Linked DNA regions of Cricetulus griseus. The protein of the gene in region 1 interacts with the protein of each later gene in a biochemical or structural test. Links are inferred from orthologs where the notes say so. Each region holds a gene or a part of one and is shown in the gene's direction. Other genes may lie near its edges.

Region 1 (3,984 bases):
CTTGAACTCATAGAGATAAACCTGCCTCTGCCTCCTGAGTTCTGTGAGAACATTTGAGAGCCCCTCAGTAGTGCGTGCCTGGCATTTCTGGAAGTATCTGTCTGTGAGTGGCCAGGCTCACAGTGAAGCCGGAGTGGAGGCTGCAGCGTGGAGGCCGCTGTGCCCTGCTTGCCTTGATCGCCTCCCCAGACAGGGAGCTCCTTCCTTCTCTCGCACCTGCGCGTGCGCGAGCCATTTCGCATTCCCAGCCTTTCTGGGGTGGGCTACGGAAGGCCGAGGCTCAGCGGGGCCCCAGAGAACACCGGGCACACAGCACTCGGCACCCAGCATCCCGCCTGGTGCGCGGGAGACGGAGGAGGAGGAGATCGCAACTCGGCCCGCAGTACGGCCGGCGCTAGGACCCGCGGGGGCTCTGAGCCGGGTCCCCTCCATCCTCGCCCCAAAATGAGGAAGCGGAGCAAGTTGCTCCGAGTTGAGCCTTGGGGCGTAAGACCCGTTGGCGGGAACCCTCCCGGGGTCGCGCCCTGAGCAGGTGAGCGCGTGCGCGCGGGTGGAGAGGGTACGACCCCCAAAATGGTCCTGGTCCGGAGGCGTCAGAAGGCTGTTTTTTTTTTTTTTTTTTTTTTTTTTTTCTGGGTGCGGCGTGCGCGTCTCTGAGTGCGCGCGCCCCGGTGATCACTGCAGGGCCCGTGTGCGCCGCAGGGACAGGCACTGGTGCCCACGTCTAGCAGGCGCCTGTATCGCGCACATGCGGGTGTCCGGGTGGCACCTGTGCCCAGATGCACGTGCGCCTCTGCCTGCGCGCAGCAGCCCTGCAAACCCCACTGAGCCCGAGGCCAGAAGCGCACCCCAACCTCCTGCTCTGACCCCTGCCAGCAGGACCCGGGCAGTAACTGCCTTGCACTGCCCACGCTGGGGTGGCGTGGGTCCTTCCAGATGCTTCCTTGGTGACTCCTGGTGACCCGAGGAGCCTCACAGGAGCCCGTCCTCCCCAGGCTCCACCCAGGGTCAGATTCCCAGGAATGACCTTGAGTCACCGCCCCTGCCCATGGCCCAGAAAAGAGGAAGCCTCAGGCCGGGCTCCTGGCACCGTCCTCCGCCCCCCTCCCACAGCCCTGGCTGCCACCAGAGCCATCGGATCCCTCCACTACTGCCTCCGGGCCTCAGTTTCCCTTCCCGAGCAATGGCAGGGCGAGGGCGAGGGAGAGACTCCGGGGTCTCATGGCTGGCCTTTGATGGCTGGGAATCTAAGGATCTTCCTCGGGTAACCATAACTTCCCAAACCAAGGGCTGCAGAGGGAATCAGGACCTAAGCCACCTGAGGGATGATTGAGGGGGGGCTCTTGGCCTCCTGGCTGCTGCTTCCACCCTGCCAGACCCAGAGGAAGGAGCTGGACCTGGGGACAACCCCAAGCATGACACTGACTCCTCCACAGGTGAGCCCTCGCTTCCTCCGAGCCTGGCACCCCTCGCCTGCCGCAGCTAGGATGCCAACCGTGAGTGTGGGGCCCCAAGTCACCAGACCTTCCTCTACTGTCCTCGTGGGGTGGGGGCATGCACCCCGAGGCAAGCTTCCACCCAGTCCCCATGGACCCGGCCAGAGGCAACCCAGGCCTCTACATGTGCCGGTGATTCTGGTCTCTAACTCAGTTTCCCTCCACCCTCTGTCCCCTTTTCTGTCTATTAGACACCCCCAGGCTTTTATTTATTTTTTTATTTTGCTTTTGAGACAGAGTCTCACTATATAGAGATGCCTAGCTTGGAGCTCAGTATGTAGCCCAGACTGGTCTCAAACCCACAGAAATCCACCTGCCTCAGCCTCCCAAGTTCTAGGATTACAGGTGTGAGCTACCACACCCAGCATTATTTAGCTGGTCTGGAATCCTCCTGTCTCAGTCACCTAAGTGCCAGGCTCCAGGCCCGTGTCTTCACTACTTCCTTGTCCTGTCCTCTCCCCACCAGCCCAAAGTTTCTCCCAGTCTCCCTGTCCCTCCCAATGTCCACTTCTCCCTCCTGTCCCTGACACCCCTGCCTCCATCTCATCCCTAGAGGCGCTGGGCCCCTGGGACTCAATGTATGACCAAGTGTGAAAACTCACGCCCTAAGCCGGGTGAGCTGGCCTTCCGAAAGGGTGACATGGTGACCATCTTGGAGGCTTGTGAGGTGAGGAGGGAGCTGAAGGGTGGTTGGGGTGCACTTAGGGATTCCAGGACAGAGAGACACCTGCTCCTTCCCTTCCTCCATCCCCTCCCCATCGTGCAGGACAAAAGTTGGTACCGTGCCAAGCACCACAGCAGTGGGCAGGAGGGGCTACTGGCAGCTGCTGCTCTTCGACAGCGGGAGGCCCTCTCCACAGACCCCAAGCTCAGTCTCATGCCGTGAGTGGCACCCTGGTGGGGTGGGTGACATCAGGGCCTCAGCCATCCTTGCCCCATGTGGCATTGTCTCTCCACGGCTCGCCACAGATGGTTCCATGGAAAGATCTCAGGCCAGGAAGCGGTACAGCAGCTGCAGCCACCTGAGGACGGGCTGTTTCTTGTTCGGGAATCAGCTCGTCACCCCGGAGACTATGTCCTGTGTGTCAGTTTCGGCCGAGATGTCATCCACTACCGTGTCCTGCATCGTGATGGCCACCTTACCATTGATGAGGCTGTCTGTTTCTGTAATCTGATGGACATGGTGGAGGTGACCTGTGGCTGGGGCAGCAGGGGTGGAAAGGTGGATGGGTCCCCAGGAGCCTCACTTGTCTCTAGAACTGGAGCCACTTCTCCAGGGAGCCCCTCACTCTGCATTCTGCACCTTCCACTGTTGCCATGGAAACACACTCATCTTAGCCTGGACCTGGGAGGTTCTGCTTACCCCACTGAGTCGATTGGAGGGGGAGGGACAGGGAGGACAGGGGTCCCTAGAGCCAGAGGCTCATGACTACTGGTCCCCACAGCATTACACCAAGGACAAGGGTGCCATCTGCACCAAGCTGGTGAAGCCAAAGAGGAAACAGGGCACCAAGTCAGCCGAGGAGGAGCTTGCAAAGGGTATGCTAGCCACTAAGGAGAGATCATCTCATACACAGCAGCCCAGACTCGGCCTCACCTACCACCCCGGCCTCCTGCCTCCCACCCCAGCCTTGTCTTGGTTAAGCCCCTGACTCTTCTAAGTCAAATTGTCATATGTCTCCTGTGGGATCTGGAGTCCCAGAGTTGTGCCCATGATGGAGCAAGGTATCTGTCCTGCTTCAGTCTTCAGAGTCTGGAATTAGAGAGCTCTGGGGGGAAAGAGGAGGGCTTTCAGAAGCAACAGCGGGGTTTGCACAGCATGCCAGAGCCTGCCAGAGACATGTTCAGGAATATTCCAGAACCTGTGTGCCTCTTGATCTGCATGTATCCTGGGGAGATCAGTAATGGGAAGAGCAGGCTTGGAGGGGCACAGAGCAGCCACAGTCCCTGTCCATCGAGGGAGGTCCTGGAGCCACAACTGAAGCCTGGGGAACCTGGTGGGATTGAGTTCTGATGATCTCCTTGGACAGCCTGCAGCTTGCAGGATTGTAATTTGTACCAGGAGTGAGGTGTCCACCCCATACAGCCTTGGGGCAACTGCTGGGGGGTGTGCACAGCTGTGGGGATGCTGGCTTTCCACATCTCGCTGGTGGGAAGGAAGGACTCCTGTCCAGCTCTGACCCTGTCTCTCTGTCCCTGCAGCTGGCTGGCTACTCAACCTGCAGCACCTGACTCTAGGAGCACAGATTGGAGAGGGGGAGTTTGGAGGTGAGGAGGGTCACAGAGCACACTGCTGGACAGTGCAGGACAGGCGAGCGTTGTCAGGCACTAGGGCAACAGCCCCAGCTCACCTCCCAGGATCCTCCTAGGAGCTCTGCTTAGAATGCCTTCCCTGTGTGCATTACCCTGGGACTTAGATCAGAGGGTGGTAAGCTCTTGTCAGTCCACCAGCCTTGTCCATCCCGAGCAGCCGGAAACTATGCAAACA
Region 2 (3,514 bases), on another chromosome or scaffold:
GTGCTTGTTCTCTCACTTGCTCGCTTCAGTAATCCTGGCCTCCGAGAGCTTCCTCCTGAGCTAGGCCAGCTGGGAAACCTCTGGCAACTGGACATTGAAGACCTGAACATTGGCAATGTACCTGCAGAGATCAGGAAAGAAGGTAGGGCCTCCTCAGCCCTGTTCACATCACTGCCGTGAAAAGATAACTCAGGTTCCCTTGGTAGCTTTGAAGGATGGAGTCAGTGGGTGAATGAACTGTGGGGCCCAACTCCAACCTCAGAGTTTGGGGAGATGGCCCCAGCACAGTAGCTCTCAACAGCGATTAGCTATCAACAGCGATAAGCTACCAACATCAATTGGGAATGGCTAGGTAGTAAAATACGGCAACCAGGGCAGCAAGGATATTGTCCTTCAGTCCTGGCTGTCACACTTAATTTTGGGGGTAGTTATTGTCATCCCTTCCTGCTCTCAGATTCCTCATCTTCCCTTGGAACACCTAGAAATTGGGATGGAATTTGGCCTCTTAAGAAATGTGAGTGCATCCCCGTTATACATCACCTAGGGTGTTCACTTGCCCCCTCCTCTGATTTCTCACAGGCCCCAAAGCGACACTGTCCTTCCTGCGTGCTCAGCTACGCAAAGCAGAGAAGTGTAAGCTGATGAAGATGATCCTCGTAGGTCCCCCACGCCAGGGCAAGTCCACACTCCTGGAGATCTTACAGACGGGGAAGGCCCCCCAGGTAGCACACAGCGAGGCCACCATCAGAACCACCAAGTGGGAGCTCCAGAGGCCAGCAGGCTCCAAAGCCAAGGTGAAGGATGGTGGACATGCAGTGGGAGGGAGGGACCTCCCTGTGGTCTGTTCTCCATTCCCCTGGAGACCCTGGACATTCTGAGTGCAAGGCCCAAGACATTCTGTGCTGTTGCTCACCAGCTCTTGCCAAGAGTGACGAATCGGTTCTTTCCATGACCTTGTAGTCTTTCTGTCATAATGAAGTCAAGGCTCTGGGCCAATGGTTCTTGACCCTGCTTGTCTGCTGGATTCCCCTGTGGTTCTCTCTGAGTGCATGCTCAGACTTCAAAGCTGGCCTCGGTGACTTAGCTTCAAATAGGCTGGGGTGGGGCTCCCCTAGGGCTAAGAACAAAGCACCAGAGCAGACAGTGAGGTGTACCTCAGCATCTCTCAGCCCCCTTAAAAGGAGACTGAGAAGGTACCCCAGGAGTCAGTCCATCATCCTCCCTGATTCCTGCTTCCATTCAAGCCCTGAAAAAATTCCATTCAATATCCTGTTTAAGATGAATTCTTTACCAATTTGTTCATCATCTTCTTTTCTATTCAGGACCAAGCAGGTGGAAATAAACTTTTTTTAAAAAAGCCTTTTGAAGCAGAAAAGAACCAGTGGGACCTCAGCCTGGCACTTATGTTACACTTTTATGTTGCTGTGACCAAAATGCAAAATACCTATCAGAAATGACTTAGAGGGGAGCATATATATGTGGTTTATTCCACTGTTGCTTGGTCCCTTCTGTTGAGCAGAACATCATGATGGTTGATGTGTCTGATGAAGATAGCTGCTCACACTGTGGGGGACAAGAAGCAGGGAGTGACAGGAAGTGGCCAGGATAATACCCTCCCAAGGACTCGCCTCTAGTGACCTACTGCCCCCAAGTCTCACCTCCCACATCTCTAGAACCTCCTAAGATTTCACCAGCAGGAGACCAAGTGTTCAAGACATAAGCCACTAGCAGACATTTCCAGTTCAAACCATAACAGCACTCCATCCGTAGAACAGACATAAAGTGGTTTTCCCCGAGTGCCAGACAGTACCGTCCTCCTCTGCTGTATGTGTGTCTCTGCCTCACTGTGGTGATTCAGGGATCCCCGGTGGAGAAAGGGTGACAGGGTAGAAAGCAGAGAGGCTGTGTCCAGAATGGGCCTGGTTTTCTTCTCCAAGCCCAGCACAATGAGGGCTAAGTTTGACTGCAGAGTTTTTGTACATAAAACCACCTTCCAAATCAGGGAAATCCAGTTTGAGAAACGGAACCTTCTGATGGTGTAAGCAAACATACTAGGAGCTTCCCCCCCCCCCCGCAACAGGACCCTTGGGGCTAGGAGTACACATTGGTAGGACAGCCTGTGCTGGGCATTTGTAAGGCCACGAGTTCAATCTCCAGCACCCAAAATAAAAATAAGAGCAGGGTCCTGCCTGTTGAGTTCCGAACAGTGATGTAATGAATGCCAGGCCTACTCGGAACAGACAGGGAGTGACTCTAGCTGACTCACGTCTGACGGTTCTCTCAAGTAACCAGAATTTTCTACAGTACCCTTGGCTTTGCTGTTTTGTCAGTGACTCAGTCACTTTTGCTCCCAGCTTTTCTTCAGTGCATGGGTGCCCAGGCTGGCCTGAAACCGCCTTCACTCGAAAGCCACTGCTGCTCTTGTGGGCCCCTCCTGCCCTGTGCGGCTGACCTTTAGCTGGCTAAGAACAGCTGTCTGCTTTCATCTGTATACTAAACCAGGTCAGCATGCTGTATGTCTTAGAGGCCAAATGCTGCCTCATGGAAATGACTCCTGGCTATAGCTCACTGTAGTCTTGGTTTCCAGGCCAGCTCTGAGCTCATATAGTGATAGAGAAACCGTTTCCACGGCCTTACTGGCAGCCCAGTTCCTGTTGTTGGATTCTCAAGTCAGGGGGGATTTCCCAAGCCTCATTGGTGGGCCCTAACCTTTGACCTACATAAGTTCAAGGGTGCCTCCTCCATTTGGCCCTTGCACAGATAGGGTGGAGCCATGATGTCAAAGTGGGGGCCCTTCTGCCACCAGATGTCTTCCAACTGTGGAGAGCCTAAGATAAGCAATATGACAGGCCATGATCTTCTCAGATGCCCTACTCTGTTTGCAGCAAATAGAAGCTCCCAGAAGTCTACCTTTGGGCCACTGGGCTCTTTTCCCTCACCAGGATTGCTAACTTAGACACACTGGAGTCTGTAACTTTTCTACCACTGCATTGTCTTTTCCAGACACATTCCAGGTTGTAAACTTTCTTGTGGTTTCCTCACTCCCTCGGTCACTCAAATGTGCCCCCCCTTCTGTGCCTTCTTGCTCAAGTAGGTTGAGTCCGTGGAGTTCAACGTCTGGGACATTGGGGGTCCTGCCAGCATGGCCACCGTCAATCAGTGCTTCTTCACAGACAAGGCCCTGTATGTAGTGGTCTGGAACCTGGCACTGGGGGAGGAAGCTGTGGCCAACCTCCAGTTCTGGCTGCTCAACATCGAGGTGAGGAGCCACCATCTTTGCCTTCTAGTACTCAGGACCCAGCACCACAGGGTTCTGTGTTCTGAAGCATTATGTGGATCAAGAACAAAGGGACAGTGCACAGGAGAAAGAAGGGCTTTCCCAGGGGGGTCCCAAATCGTGGCCTTGCATGATTTTCATACTGAGAACTCAGAGGCCTCCTGGTCCTTAGGGCCCAGTGCTCTTGTCATTTTCTTACTTACCTGAAACCTAATAGCCCATGCATGCAAGGCACTC
Region 3 (3,514 bases), on another chromosome or scaffold:
ACACTAATTCCCTTGGGTGGTCTCAAATTCATTCACCAGCTCTTATTGGGTGTCTACTGCCACCAGACCTACACCCTAGTCTAACATGCAGCTCTTGCCATTGAGAGTCTGATGGAGGAGGTGAAGCATGAGCTTGAAAAACAAAGTCCGGTGCTCCTTAGGGCCCCAGGATCAGGGATAGAGACCAACCAACTTGGCTTGGGAGAAGTGTGGGGTTCCTTACAAGTGGTAGTGACTTCTTGAGCTGAGTCCAGAGAGACTCACCGTATGGCTACTGCAGTTTCCAGCAAAATAGCATTCTCCTAAGAGTTCACTGTTGTTTTATGTCCTACTTTTTGACCTGATCCTACGGTTGCCTGTGATAATTAAATGAAACTTGCCAGATGGATGCTTTTGCAAGACGATGGCTCGTCTTCTTGCTCTATTTGTGAAATCTGGCATTAGATCCAAATTCTCAAGGGTGCTTCTACCTTGAGGATGGCTTTGGGAGGGTAGTGGCTCTTTTTGTGGTATTTGCCAAATGTCCTGCCATCAGCAGGAACAGGTTGAGTGACAGGTGGGTGTGTCATGCATGTGGACACTGATCCCTGCCAACCCATCTTGCTTCCAAGGAGGTGGCGTGCTGAGCAATGACTCTCAGAGATGTCATTCAACATTGCTACTGCCTTTGGGAAAATGAAGTCCTTCAGCTTCTGACCTGCCAGTCTTTGCGTCTCTCATCTATTGCTCTTATTAGTTTGCATGTAATTGATGTTGAAATTCCACTACTTCCGGTTAAAACACATGCTCGCGTGCGTACACACACACACACTGTCACACTGTCACACTGTCTTAAAGCAGAAATTTTCAGAACATTAAAGGGAGAATGAAGGGTGGTAAATATTGTCCACTTAATCATAGCCAGCTTGCTTATTTGGGGAGCATAGTAGTCCAATAGAAAACAACCAAATCAGTAATAATAATAACAATAATAATAATAATAATAATTATTATTATTATTATTATTATTAATGCATTATTACATGCCTGTATGTCATTCTTGGTTCTTTAAGAGATATTTATGACATTTGCATATATGTGTGTCTTTGGGGGGCTGCAGTGTGTGCCATGTGCCACAGCATGCTTGTGAAGGTAAGACTGTGAGTACCACAACTGTGGATCCCAGGAACCAAACTTAGATAGTCAGGATTGGTGGCAATCTTCTTTACCTGCTGGGACATCTCAACAGCCTTCATTCTTAGTTCTTTGCATGCTCCGTCACATTTACTCAACACCCTGCAAGATGGTCACCATTGTTCCCTTTCTATAAATGAAGAAGTAGAGTCAAGAGGGGGATTTGGAAGCGTAATCAGTTTGCACTGTCCATTACATCCCTGCCTTGCTGCTTCTGAAGTCTCCAGTGGTTCAGGTGGCCATCTCTACCTGCATGATGCTGACTGTTAACTGGTTCACCCTCAAAGGGCTGGAAGCCTTCAAGTATGATGCTATCAGAACTGTGCCGTACAAGTTCATCTTCCTTTCACTTGAGAAATAATTTCAAGAATTTGAAATTGTTGAATATCAATTGATTATTGTAGTTACACAGGACTGTCAAATTAGTCTTCCTGCTGGTATAATTTATGTTTTTGCTGATTACTCTCAGGCTATAGATAATATGTATGAACAAAACGTCGTGGCAGGTTTCTTCCTGTTTTCTGTCCAAGTGTTGTGTGAAATAAAGGTTTAGATGCTCGTACTGCCATTCACTATCCAGTTTTAGCTTTCCTGTAAGTATAGCAATCCACCTCTTATCAGCACCATCTCTTGCACTTCCTAAAAGGAGAATGTAGCTTCTATTTTTTTGCAACAATTCCTGATTTCAGCCATTCCAGTGTCCATAATTTAACATGACGTGTCTGGGCAGGTAGAGTGACTTGAACTCCTATTGTCAAGGAATCTAGTTGAGAATGCTGATTTTTGACCTGAAGCAGAAACCAGCCAGGTTGGTCTTGGCAGCCTGTGGTATGTAGAGTTCTTCAGGATCCCTATGCCTTCAGGTAGATAGGGGTCCATGCAGGGCTGGACAGTGTACCTCCTGAGCCCTCCAACCACCTTCAGATGTCTTCCATCACTAGTTTGGGTGAGCAGCAAGTCAGGTTCCTCAGTGGCCTCTGGAAGGATCTAGGGATGGTATAAGAAAGAATGAGACAATCATCAGGGTTGTTTAGCAGACTGACATAGCTATTTCTCTTCCTGCAGCAAAGCCAGAAATCCTGACGTCTGACAGGCTCGCGAATGGTATGCTCCAGTGTGTGGCAGCGGGATTCCCAGAGCCCACAATAGATTGGTATTTTTGTACGGGAACAGAGCAAAGGTGAGAGGATTATTTTTGGCACTGCTTAAAATTCAGAAGGGAAGGGCTATAATTCAATTGCATTTCAAATGTGTTTTCAGACTTACTATTTATTTATATTTTTTTTAGAATAAAAAGCTGCATTTTGATAATTTCTTTTTCTCCTATATCTTTGTGGCTTTTTAAGAAGGGATAATGGCTATATTTTTCTTGGTCGACATTAATTTTGTTTGCTGAAAAATGATTACTGAATGCCTTCTCTATTTTGGTAGTTATCTTTTTGGGTTTATCGTGCAATTTCTAGCCTGCAGGTAGATAAAGCAATTTCCCAGGGCAGAGTAATTAGATTTCCATTCTATACACAGGAGGCAATGTGTGTGGGAAATGTGGCTGCAGTTATCATGAAAAAAATTACCTCAGAAGTTAATTGCCAAGTAACCAAAAGTAATGATCGCACAATTACAACATACATATGGCGTTTGTGAGCAATGGGTTTGAAAAAGTGTTTCTCCTTGATTAGGTGCCCAGCCCCTGAAAAAGGAACATCTGCCATTGTGTGGCTTTCCCTCGACGTCCACACTTAAGCCTTAAATTGTCCTCTTGAATTACCTGAAGATGAAAACAGGGTCAATGTGCCATTTTTACACATCAAACACCGTGTTATACTCCAGTTTCAAAAGCTTAGTTTGGCCTCATGGATAGTCAGAATGGCGGTGGAAATCTTATTTTACATGGAAGACATTTTATGACAACACGTTAGGATGTTGGCTTGTTGTTTTGGTGTGGGTTTCACCAGAATGTTTTGTTTGGGGGGTACATAAAACCTCTGAATGCTGTGCCTTCCATGACATGGCCTGAGTAGATATCTTGCGCTCAGCAAAATGTTTACATGGAAGCCAACTGTGTGCCAGATGCTTGTCTAGTGTACACCATGCTCGGCTGTACCCACATCTCTGCCTGGGTGTATCTGAATTCTAGTGGGCATAGAAGAGATAGCAGACAAGATGAGCAATTGATTGGTATGTGTAGGTGTTTAGAAGGCAATGGAAAAGAGGTGTTCAGAGACTGTTTCCTGGAGATCCTTGCAGCCAGAGTGGTCATCACACACATGGCATGTGCTCCCATCTCCGAACCTAACTTTTTGAGTTTTTTGTTTTGTTTTGTTTTCAGGCTTGTTGATTT
Region 4 (3,514 bases), on another chromosome or scaffold:
TGTTACTGATACAGAAGTGAGGCGTCTTGCGTTGTTGCATATCACCAGCCTTTTACACTGTAAGATCTGAAAGCACAGATACACAACTGATTTTGATCATACTGTTTCTGTTTTGTTAAGCGACATACCAACTTTCCCAATTTAAGATGAAGTGTACCAAACACACTCTGTAATGGGTAGTACATGTTTAGTGACCTTTTAGTATGAAGCCTTCAGATCCTGCTCTGAGAATGGCACCAGACTGTTTGGCTCCTGTCTTTGGTGTCTCTGTTTTGCTATTTCTCTACCATCTCCTGTGTCCCTGCTGATGGCCATTTCTTTAAAATGACCTTTTGAATAATTGCGGTTGTAGCAAGAGTCCCTGTACTTGCTCTCTGATGCCTCAAGGAGCTCTTCCGGGAGTGAGGTCCTCAAGAAGTTTACACCAGGACATCTGCTCACAGAATCTGGTAGTTCATGAGTGTATCTTTGTATCATGGTAATTCGGATCTTTCTTAAGCATCCTTTTCTTGGTGATATTATAGCAACTTGAGCAAATAGAACAGTGGCAGTAAGGCTTGCTTCTGAGACTTTGGTCTCTCATTCTCCGAACTGAATGACTTTAAAGTGAATTCAGAGCATAAAATTAACAGCTAATGAACAGAGGTGGGCATGTTTTATGCTGTTCTGATGTAGTTTGGAATTTACTGAACAATTCCTTTATTTAGAAACACAGCTTGCAAACAACCTGCTTTAGGCAAATGTTAAAATAAAAGAAAAACCACACTAACACAGTTATTATGTAGGAACCTCCAAAGTGATAAGAATTGGACTAAAAAGACATAACAATGACTTTAAAATTGTTTTATGATTATCATTATTTTAAGTTTCAGGAAATGTCTCTGTTGCCGTTTGCTGCTGTAACAGCATATCCACGCCTAAGAGGGTCACAAACTACAGAGATTTCTCTCTCACAGTTCTGGGGGGAGGGAAATCCAAGACCTTGAGGTTGGCATCTTCAAGGCCATTCCTGATGTGTCATTTCATGATGAAATGCAGGAGGACATGAGCACACATGCCCAACAGCAAAGGGAAAGGGGAGATAACTTATCCTTTACTGGTGTCCTTTGGGGTGATGACGGGGCTCAGTCCTTGTGACTATAAGCATCTCATAAAACTCCCATCTCAAGACACTCCTGTGTCACTGGATTGAATTTCAAGACATGTCCTTTAGAGAAGTATGCTCACACTAGCAGCATAGAAAGACAGTTGCTACTGTCTGCTTCTGAAGTCCCTGAGTCTGTCATAGCTGCGGCACTGAGTTTCATACATAGCAGATTCCAGCAGAAATGGAACCAGAAAGGATTTTTTACATAAACAGGAAGTGTCTTGTCCCTGTTCCCCTAGGCTCGAGCCTCTTCTTCCCCGGTGATTCTGGTGGGCACGCATTTGGATGTTTCCGACGAGAAGCAGCGCAAAGCCTGCATAAGCAAAATCACCAAGGAACTCCTAAATAAGCGAGGATTCCCCACCATCCGGGACTACCACTTTGTCAATGCCACCGAGGAGTCTGATGCACTGGCAAAGCTTCGGAAAACCATCATCAATGAGAGTCTTAATTTCAAGGTGGGAGGGTGTGCATCCCCTGCAGGCTGCTAGATAACTACCCCTTGTTCTTCCTCTCATTATACTGCTGCTTAGAAATGTCAGAAACCTTGAGGAGAGAGCAATTATCTGGTAATTGTAGGTTTTTTTTTTCAAAGCTGAGAACTATGAAAATACTTTCACTTTAAAATTATTTATTTATACTATACTTCATTTATAATTCATGGAAGTGGGGATAAAATTAACTAGCAGATCTCAAGAAGAAGTAGGAGAATCTTGCCAGGATACTGAGTATCATCCAGATACTTGCTCTCCCTGCTTCCTCTCCATGGGTTCCATCCAGAGGCTAAATAGGACAGTGGGGCCTGGGTCTCTGGTCCTCTGTGGAATCTGTTCTTCTAGCACCTTCCTTTGGGAGTCCCTATTTTACTTGCATCTTGATCATCTGTTTGACTCCTTCATAATTCTTTTTCTGGTGTTTTCATTTGTGTTTGTATGTTTGTTTGTTTAGGCTTTTTTCTCTTAATATTGTGAGTTGTCAAGACCACTAGTCGGTTTTCCGAAATCTTTAATTACCTAATTTGTAAAGCTAGGTTCCATCTTAAGACTTGTGTTTAAATTCCTTTCGCTCTCTTTGGTAAACCACTTGTTTAGAAAACATCAATAAATGGGTCATCGGGAAGAATACACTTTTCCACTACTCACGGGAAAGAAAGGAATATAGTTGAAATTTCTGGAAAATGTGCTGGGTACTTCAGTGTGGCAAACACAATGCCAAGTCTTTCTGTTTTGGCTCTGTGGAGATCCTAGAGTGTAGGCAGGGTGCCATCTGGCCTGGGTATCCCAGAGCAATTTCTTACAGGGCCACATTGCATTCTCAAAACTGCTCCAATTTGGAATGCTAAATAAGCCACAGTGGCCCGCCTGCTCAGCTCTGTTGCACTTCCACAAGTTCTACTCCTCTCAGAAGACACATGGGCCATCTATGGATGAGTTTGTCTCTGTGGTACCCAGGGAGAGAAACTGTTCAACACACATTTAATAGTTACTAGAAAGTCTTCCTAGTTTGGATACTATTTGCATAAGAATGGTGTCAAGTATTAGAAGCATTCTGTGTTGCTTTTCTTTTTCAATTCTCCCGTGGGACTAAAAAGATTAGCGGGAGTCTGGCTCTTTAAAACACAGATATACAAACTGCTCATTGAATTAATCTGTTTATCCAGTTAGTATACTTCTCTGGTTGTAACTGCACCTAAAGAATGTCCTTGTTCCTTGGGATATTTTGTTAGATTTTCCTTCTTCTGCTGTTGCTAAAAGCATATGCCAAGGATTTAAAGACCCATCTTGGGAGATGAGTTTGTTTTGTAAAAGCCTGAATGTAGCTGAAGCAAGCCTGTAAGTGAGGTAGTTGGATCAGTAGTCCCAACGGATGCTGCTATGGGGAGGTGACTGAGTCAGCCATCTAGATTAATACTACGTTGAGAAGGCTCCAAATTATTACTGTCAATCAGTGAGACCGGATTCCTTCTTATAAATGCATCTTTACAACAACTCTATGCAAAGAAGCAAAACACGATTCCCCAAACGTCAGTATTATTAAATAAGAATGCGTATTGCTAATGTTTACCCCATTCTGGCATGCTGGTTTGAGAATGCACTGGCTTGCTTTGATGTTTTTTTCAGATGGTGGGGTGGGAGAGCCTGCCTTGCTGGGATACTGTCGTCTTTGAGGCTTGCAACCCATCTTCAAGGAGCAGCTTTGACTTGATGAGAGAGCTCTCCCTGCCATGCCTCCTTTACCTTCTTTTTGTCTTGACTCCTTTTATTTATAAACACATATCTGTGTTCTTCAGAAGGGTTTTGTTTTTCTTCCCTACCTCAGTCTGGTAGTGATCCAATGCATTATCAAAGAGAAAGGTGAAGAAAATAC
Region 5 (4,288 bases), on another chromosome or scaffold:
GTATTCCATGTAAATCAAACATGGTAGTCCCTATCTGATCCTGCCTGCAGTGGTTCCCATCCACAGAATTAATTTTCTTTGTCTTCTGGACTACTCTCCAGAAGTATGGCTTCTACACACTGTCGTCCTTAGCTAAATGAGCTGACACCCATGTGCGTGTGTGCACATACCTCCTTACCAGACTTTCGGCTTGCACATACCTGCACCTTCTAGTAGACTATAGGTGGGTTCTTGTTATAATCCCCTAGGCCCAAAGAAATACAACTAATATTTCTGCTAGGGCTGCCCTGTGGTCCCTCAAGGACCTGCTGCCAAACACTTCTCAAACACAGTTCTTGCCCTTGGTACATGGTGAGCTCTTCTTAAAACGCAGTGCAAATATCAACTCATGTAACCCTCCCAATGGCAGTTCTGGGTCGCTGCTCATGTTGGCCTGGCTGCTTAAAAGGAAGCCAGGGCACAGAAACAAGGTCTTTCTCCTAGTCTGCAGCTTCTAAGATCTAAGCGTTGGATGCTGGTCCCTATGTCTAACAGCTGCACGCTGCTTGCCTCTCTGGAAGAAAAAAAAAAACAAAAAAACAAAAACAAAACAAAAAACCAGAACCAGGCTTTTGGCCAGAGGTGCAGAGGACAGAGGGGTGACATTGCATAAGGGACTTTCTACCTGAGGCCTGGCCTTAGGCAATCACCCTCCTGGTCTCTGAGCCTCAACATCCTCTTTATTAAGAGACCGAGACAGCAGGGCCTGCTTTGCTTCATTACTTCATTATGTCCCTCAACTGCCATCATGGGAAGCAAAATTGGCTATCTCTGAACTTACTTCAACTCAAACTCTCCAATTAGTGGAGGGTCTTGATTCCTCTTCTCTGCTTTGGTGCGCAGGCAGCCTTCTGCAGATGACCAAGCACTTGATCTGAGTGCTTCTAGCGTTCCCTCAGGAAACCCCGGAGCTAGGGTGCATTTTGAATCCAGAGGCTCTGTCCTTTGGGGTTAGCTCTCCTTTCTCTGTCTGGCTCATTAGGGTCATCATTTTGCAGCAGGCCTCTCTCAGCACAGTTCTGTCTGTGCCCTCTCTAACCTCAATCTACTCTCCCTGCTGAGAAGGCCTCTGGTCAGTCTCCTCCCCAAGGCCCAACCCTACCCTTCCCCTTTCCCTGCCACAGCTTTCGTGCTACTCTTCTCCCCCAGTGCGTCTTTACCAAGAGGCACTGAAGTCCTTCCTACACACACGCTATTTTTGTACCATCACTCTCTCCTTCCTCTCCCCCCTTCCCCCTGCATTCACTTCCTGCTTTTGCTTTACCTCGGGCCAGCTTGGAAAGATTTGGGCCCCTAAGACCCACACCCACCCGGAGGCAGACCTTCTGCTTTGGGATACATGAACAGGGCCTCTTGGGGAGGGGCAGAAAGCAAGCCTCCCCGCCTCCTCCATTCTCTATCCTGGGCCAGCGCGCCGCGGGCAGCCTCTTGCCCACTGGAGGCGAGGACTGGCCAGGGTGAGAGGCCGAGGCCAGTAGCGATCGGCTGCCACTTCTCCAGTCCACCTTAAGAGGACGGAGTAGCCAGCCCGCGGTGCCGACCTCAGACAAACAAGTTTGCGCAAAGTGCTGCGCGGCCAGCCTCTGGGCAGCGGGAGCGGTGCTTCCACCGCCTGGCAGCCCTGCGCGCGGCGGCGCAGGTCCGAGCGGCTGGCGGGGACCCGCACGGGCAGAGCGGGCTCGCGCAGAGGCGAGGCGGGCGGCGCAGCTCGCGGGGCGCACTGGGGCGCGGGCGGGAAGGTGCGGGCGCGGGGCGGGGGCGCTCGGCCGGGCCGCCCTCGCGCTGGCCTCGCGGCGGCTCGGCGCAGCCCGCACTCGCTCTGCGAGCTGTCCCTGCTCGCGCTCGCTCTCAGTGCTCGGTCCCCGCTCCCTCTCCCTCCTCCTCCTCTCCCCCTCTCTCCCTCTCCCTCGCTATCCGCTCCCCCGCCCCCGTGCCTCTGGCTCTGCGCCTGGCTCCCTCGGGTCCGCTCCCCTTTCCCGCCGGCCTGGCCCGGCGTCACGCTCCCGGAGTCTCCCCGCTCGGCGTCTCGTTGTAGGAGGGGGTCAGATCACCCCGCCGGGCGGTGGCGCTGGGGGGCAGCAGAGGGGGAGGGGCCTTAGTCGTTCGCCCGCGCCGCCCGCCGCCCGCCCGCCCGCCTGCCGAGCGCGCTCACCGCCGCTCTCCCTCCTTGCTCTGCAGCCGCGGCCCATGGAGCCCGCCGGCCCGGCCGCTGGCCGCCTAGGGCCGCTGCTGCTCTGCCTGCTGTTCTCCGCGTCCTGTTCCTTGTCAGGTAAGCACCCTCAGCTCCCACTGCCACCCTCCCCAAGCTGCGGGCTCAGGCCCCGCACACTGCCGCTCAGCTCGTGTCGACAGATGCCTGTAACCAGGGTTCCAGATGCAGAATTGAGGCCCAGAGAGGGTCAGCCACTTGCCCAAGGTCACATAGCCCAGGCTAGAAGCCAGGCTAGAACTCTTCTTATGCGGATCTGCCCTGTGGACTGTGACTGTGTAGCCCTGCGCTAAGCGGCAAGGTATAGGAATGAGTTGGTTTACCGTACCCCTTGCCCAACCCGAATGAGGAGGCAGGCTGGCAATTTGCTTTCGGCAGTAGGGCGCCTGGCTTCCCCAATAGCTCCCTTGCTAGACTTGATTGGAGAGAGGGTGGGGGGCAGAGGTCCTCCCGCGCTGCTGCTGGGCTGTTGGGATGAGGGAAGAGTGAGCTCTCCCCCTAGTACCAGAGCAAGCACTGTTAGTGTGTGGAGGTGTGGGAGAGAGGAAGAGAGGCCTGGGTAATCAACAGCCCCTTGGGAGACACGGTGGATGTACCTGTGGTGGCACAGCCTCTCCCTGGATGATCTTCTCCCGCTACCCTCCTCTCCTGCCTTCCTGAGGCAGCTTCCCAGAAGCTCCTGCAGTTCCCGCATGTACCTGTGGCTCTGAGCTTGTCTTCTTTGTTGGTCTACATCAAACACCTGGCTGTCTCCCGCAGGAGGGCTCTGAAGGCCGGTTGGCCAAGGAGTGAGGTCACCATTCAGGAGTCCTGCGTCTTAAAGGGGGTTTGCAAAAATCCTGGGTCTCTCCTGGAAGGATAGGAAGGTTGGAGACACAGCTGGGGAGGGAGAGAAGGGGGCCTTATTTAGTGTCTTTTTGGATCGGTGTTAACCGGCATAGAGATCTCTGTGCCACCTTGCCTTTGCAGGGAGGTAAAGATATTCTCAGCGCGCCCTCCTCACCAACATTTGCCTAGAGCCTGGCATCTGATAGCAGTGTAGAAGGGGGGGCGGGGGAGCCAGCCCCGGGGAAGAGAGAAGAGGCAAGCTGGAAGAGGTGGGGCAGCCAGGAGCTCTCTTTACTGCCCTGTAGTTTCCCCAGACCCCCCAGGAACCCACCAAGTGCCTCTCCCCATTCATAGTTTTCAGTCACCATTGGGCCCTTTCAGGACCAGCTGATGAATTTCACCTCTCTCCTATGAGTGGCTCTGGCGTCTGATCTGCTTCCTCCTGCCTTGCCAAAGTTCCAGCCGTGCCCTGCCATCCTCCGGGGCTTGGGAACCCACAGGCACCTCTCCGAAGTACAGAAAGCTGGGCCGGGATTAATATCTACATGGCTTGTTCTAGACCTCTTTCTGACCAGGCCCCTATGGCTCAGTCCCTGGCAAATAGGTAGTGATTAACAAGTGTTCAACCCAGCAGCCTGTCTTTCCTGGGCGCTGGCTGGGAGAATGACAGCACCTTTCTTAAGAGCCTATCTATCCTCCCCTTCCCCACACTCACCTATAAAAATAGTCTATAAAATAGCCAAGATGGACCTTCTGTCCCAATCCATTCAGCGTCAATAACCTGAAAGGGTGGGAACAGAGGAGGGACATAGGTTAACTTCATAGTGTAAGTCTTCCGAGGTGAGAATGAGATTCTCAGTGAGGAAGGGACGGTGTATAGCCATTGAGCTGCAGCCTCCCGGCAACCTGCACACTTAGTCCAGGGGTCTCAGCATCGCATTCCCGTCTTTTCTAAGGGAGGGGACTTCAGCCCCCGCTGGACTCAGCCTCTCTTATTCGAGGCGTGGGATTTACATCGAAGAAGAAGAGGTAAGATAGGATAGGCAGGTGGAGGGCGGTTGTCCAGTTTTCGAGGAAAATGGATTTGTTTGAGCAAGAAACCCAAATGTCAGCTCAGAAAAGACAGCTTTGGGTGGAATGACTGCTGTCTCTGGCAGAACTGTCATCCTGGGAGGTGTCATGTGATTGCCGGGCTTCACAAGATCACTGCTT

Evidence for each region.
Region 2: the proteins of Matk (region 1) and Lrrk1 form a complex in vitro, tested with the Homo sapiens proteins (2 studies listed by BioGRID and IntAct, with this or other methods). The link is inferred for Cricetulus griseus from reciprocal best matches to the Homo sapiens genes MATK and LRRK1.
Region 3: the proteins of Matk (region 1) and Kit form a complex in vitro, tested with the Homo sapiens proteins (2 studies listed by BioGRID). The link is inferred for Cricetulus griseus from reciprocal best matches to the Homo sapiens genes MATK and KIT.
Region 4: the proteins of Matk (region 1) and Lrrk2 interact on a protein array, tested with the Homo sapiens proteins (2 studies listed by BioGRID and IntAct, with this or other methods). The link is inferred for Cricetulus griseus from reciprocal best matches to the Homo sapiens genes MATK and LRRK2.
Region 5: the proteins of Matk (region 1) and Sirpa form a complex in vitro, tested with the Homo sapiens proteins (3 studies listed by BioGRID, with this or other methods). The link is inferred for Cricetulus griseus from reciprocal best matches to the Homo sapiens genes MATK and SIRPA.

The regions. Positions count from the first base shown.
Region 1 is NC_048598.1:102,035,472-102,039,455, forward strand, and holds the start of Matk (megakaryocyte-associated tyrosine-protein kinase), read left to right. Parts: upstream 1-1,183; coding exon 1,184-1,264; intron 1,265-1,436; coding exon 1,437-1,496; intron 1,497-2,049; coding exon 2,050-2,163; intron 2,164-2,262; coding exon 2,263-2,378; intron 2,379-2,465; coding exon 2,466-2,685; intron 2,686-2,941; coding exon 2,942-3,035; intron 3,036-3,698; coding exon 3,699-3,764; intron 3,765-3,984.
Region 2 is NC_048596.1:130,973,380-130,976,893, forward strand, and holds part of Lrrk1 (leucine-rich repeat serine/threonine-protein kinase 1), read left to right. Parts: intron 1-29; coding exon 30-142; intron 143-579; coding exon 580-794; intron 795-3,094; coding exon 3,095-3,259; intron 3,260-3,514.
Region 3 is NW_023276807.1:142,123,073-142,126,586, forward strand, and holds part of Kit (mast/stem cell growth factor receptor Kit), read left to right. Parts: intron 1-2,238; coding exon 2,239-2,353; intron 2,354-3,514. UniProt on the Homo sapiens protein: Tyrosine-protein kinase that acts as a cell-surface receptor for the cytokine KITLG/SCF and plays an essential role in the regulation of cell survival and proliferation, hematopoiesis, stem cell maintenance, gametogenesis, mast cell development, migration and function, and in melanogenesis.
Region 4 is NC_048595.1:388,273,345-388,276,858, forward strand, and holds part of Lrrk2 (leucine-rich repeat serine/threonine-protein kinase 2), read left to right. Parts: intron 1-1,386; coding exon 1,387-1,605; intron 1,606-3,514. UniProt on the Homo sapiens protein: Serine/threonine-protein kinase which phosphorylates a broad range of proteins involved in multiple processes such as neuronal plasticity, innate immunity, autophagy, and vesicle trafficking.
Region 5 is NC_048599.1:49,004,967-49,009,254, reverse strand, and holds the start of Sirpa (tyrosine-protein phosphatase non-receptor type substrate 1), read left to right. Parts: upstream 1-1,477; 5' UTR 1,478-1,496; intron 1,497-1,550; exon of another isoform or gene 1,551-1,678; intron 1,679-1,698; exon of another isoform or gene 1,699-2,217; 5' UTR 2,218-2,226; coding exon 2,227-2,308; intron 2,309-4,288. UniProt on the Homo sapiens protein: Immunoglobulin-like cell surface receptor for CD47. Acts as docking protein and induces translocation of PTPN6, PTPN11 and other binding partners from the cytosol to the plasma membrane.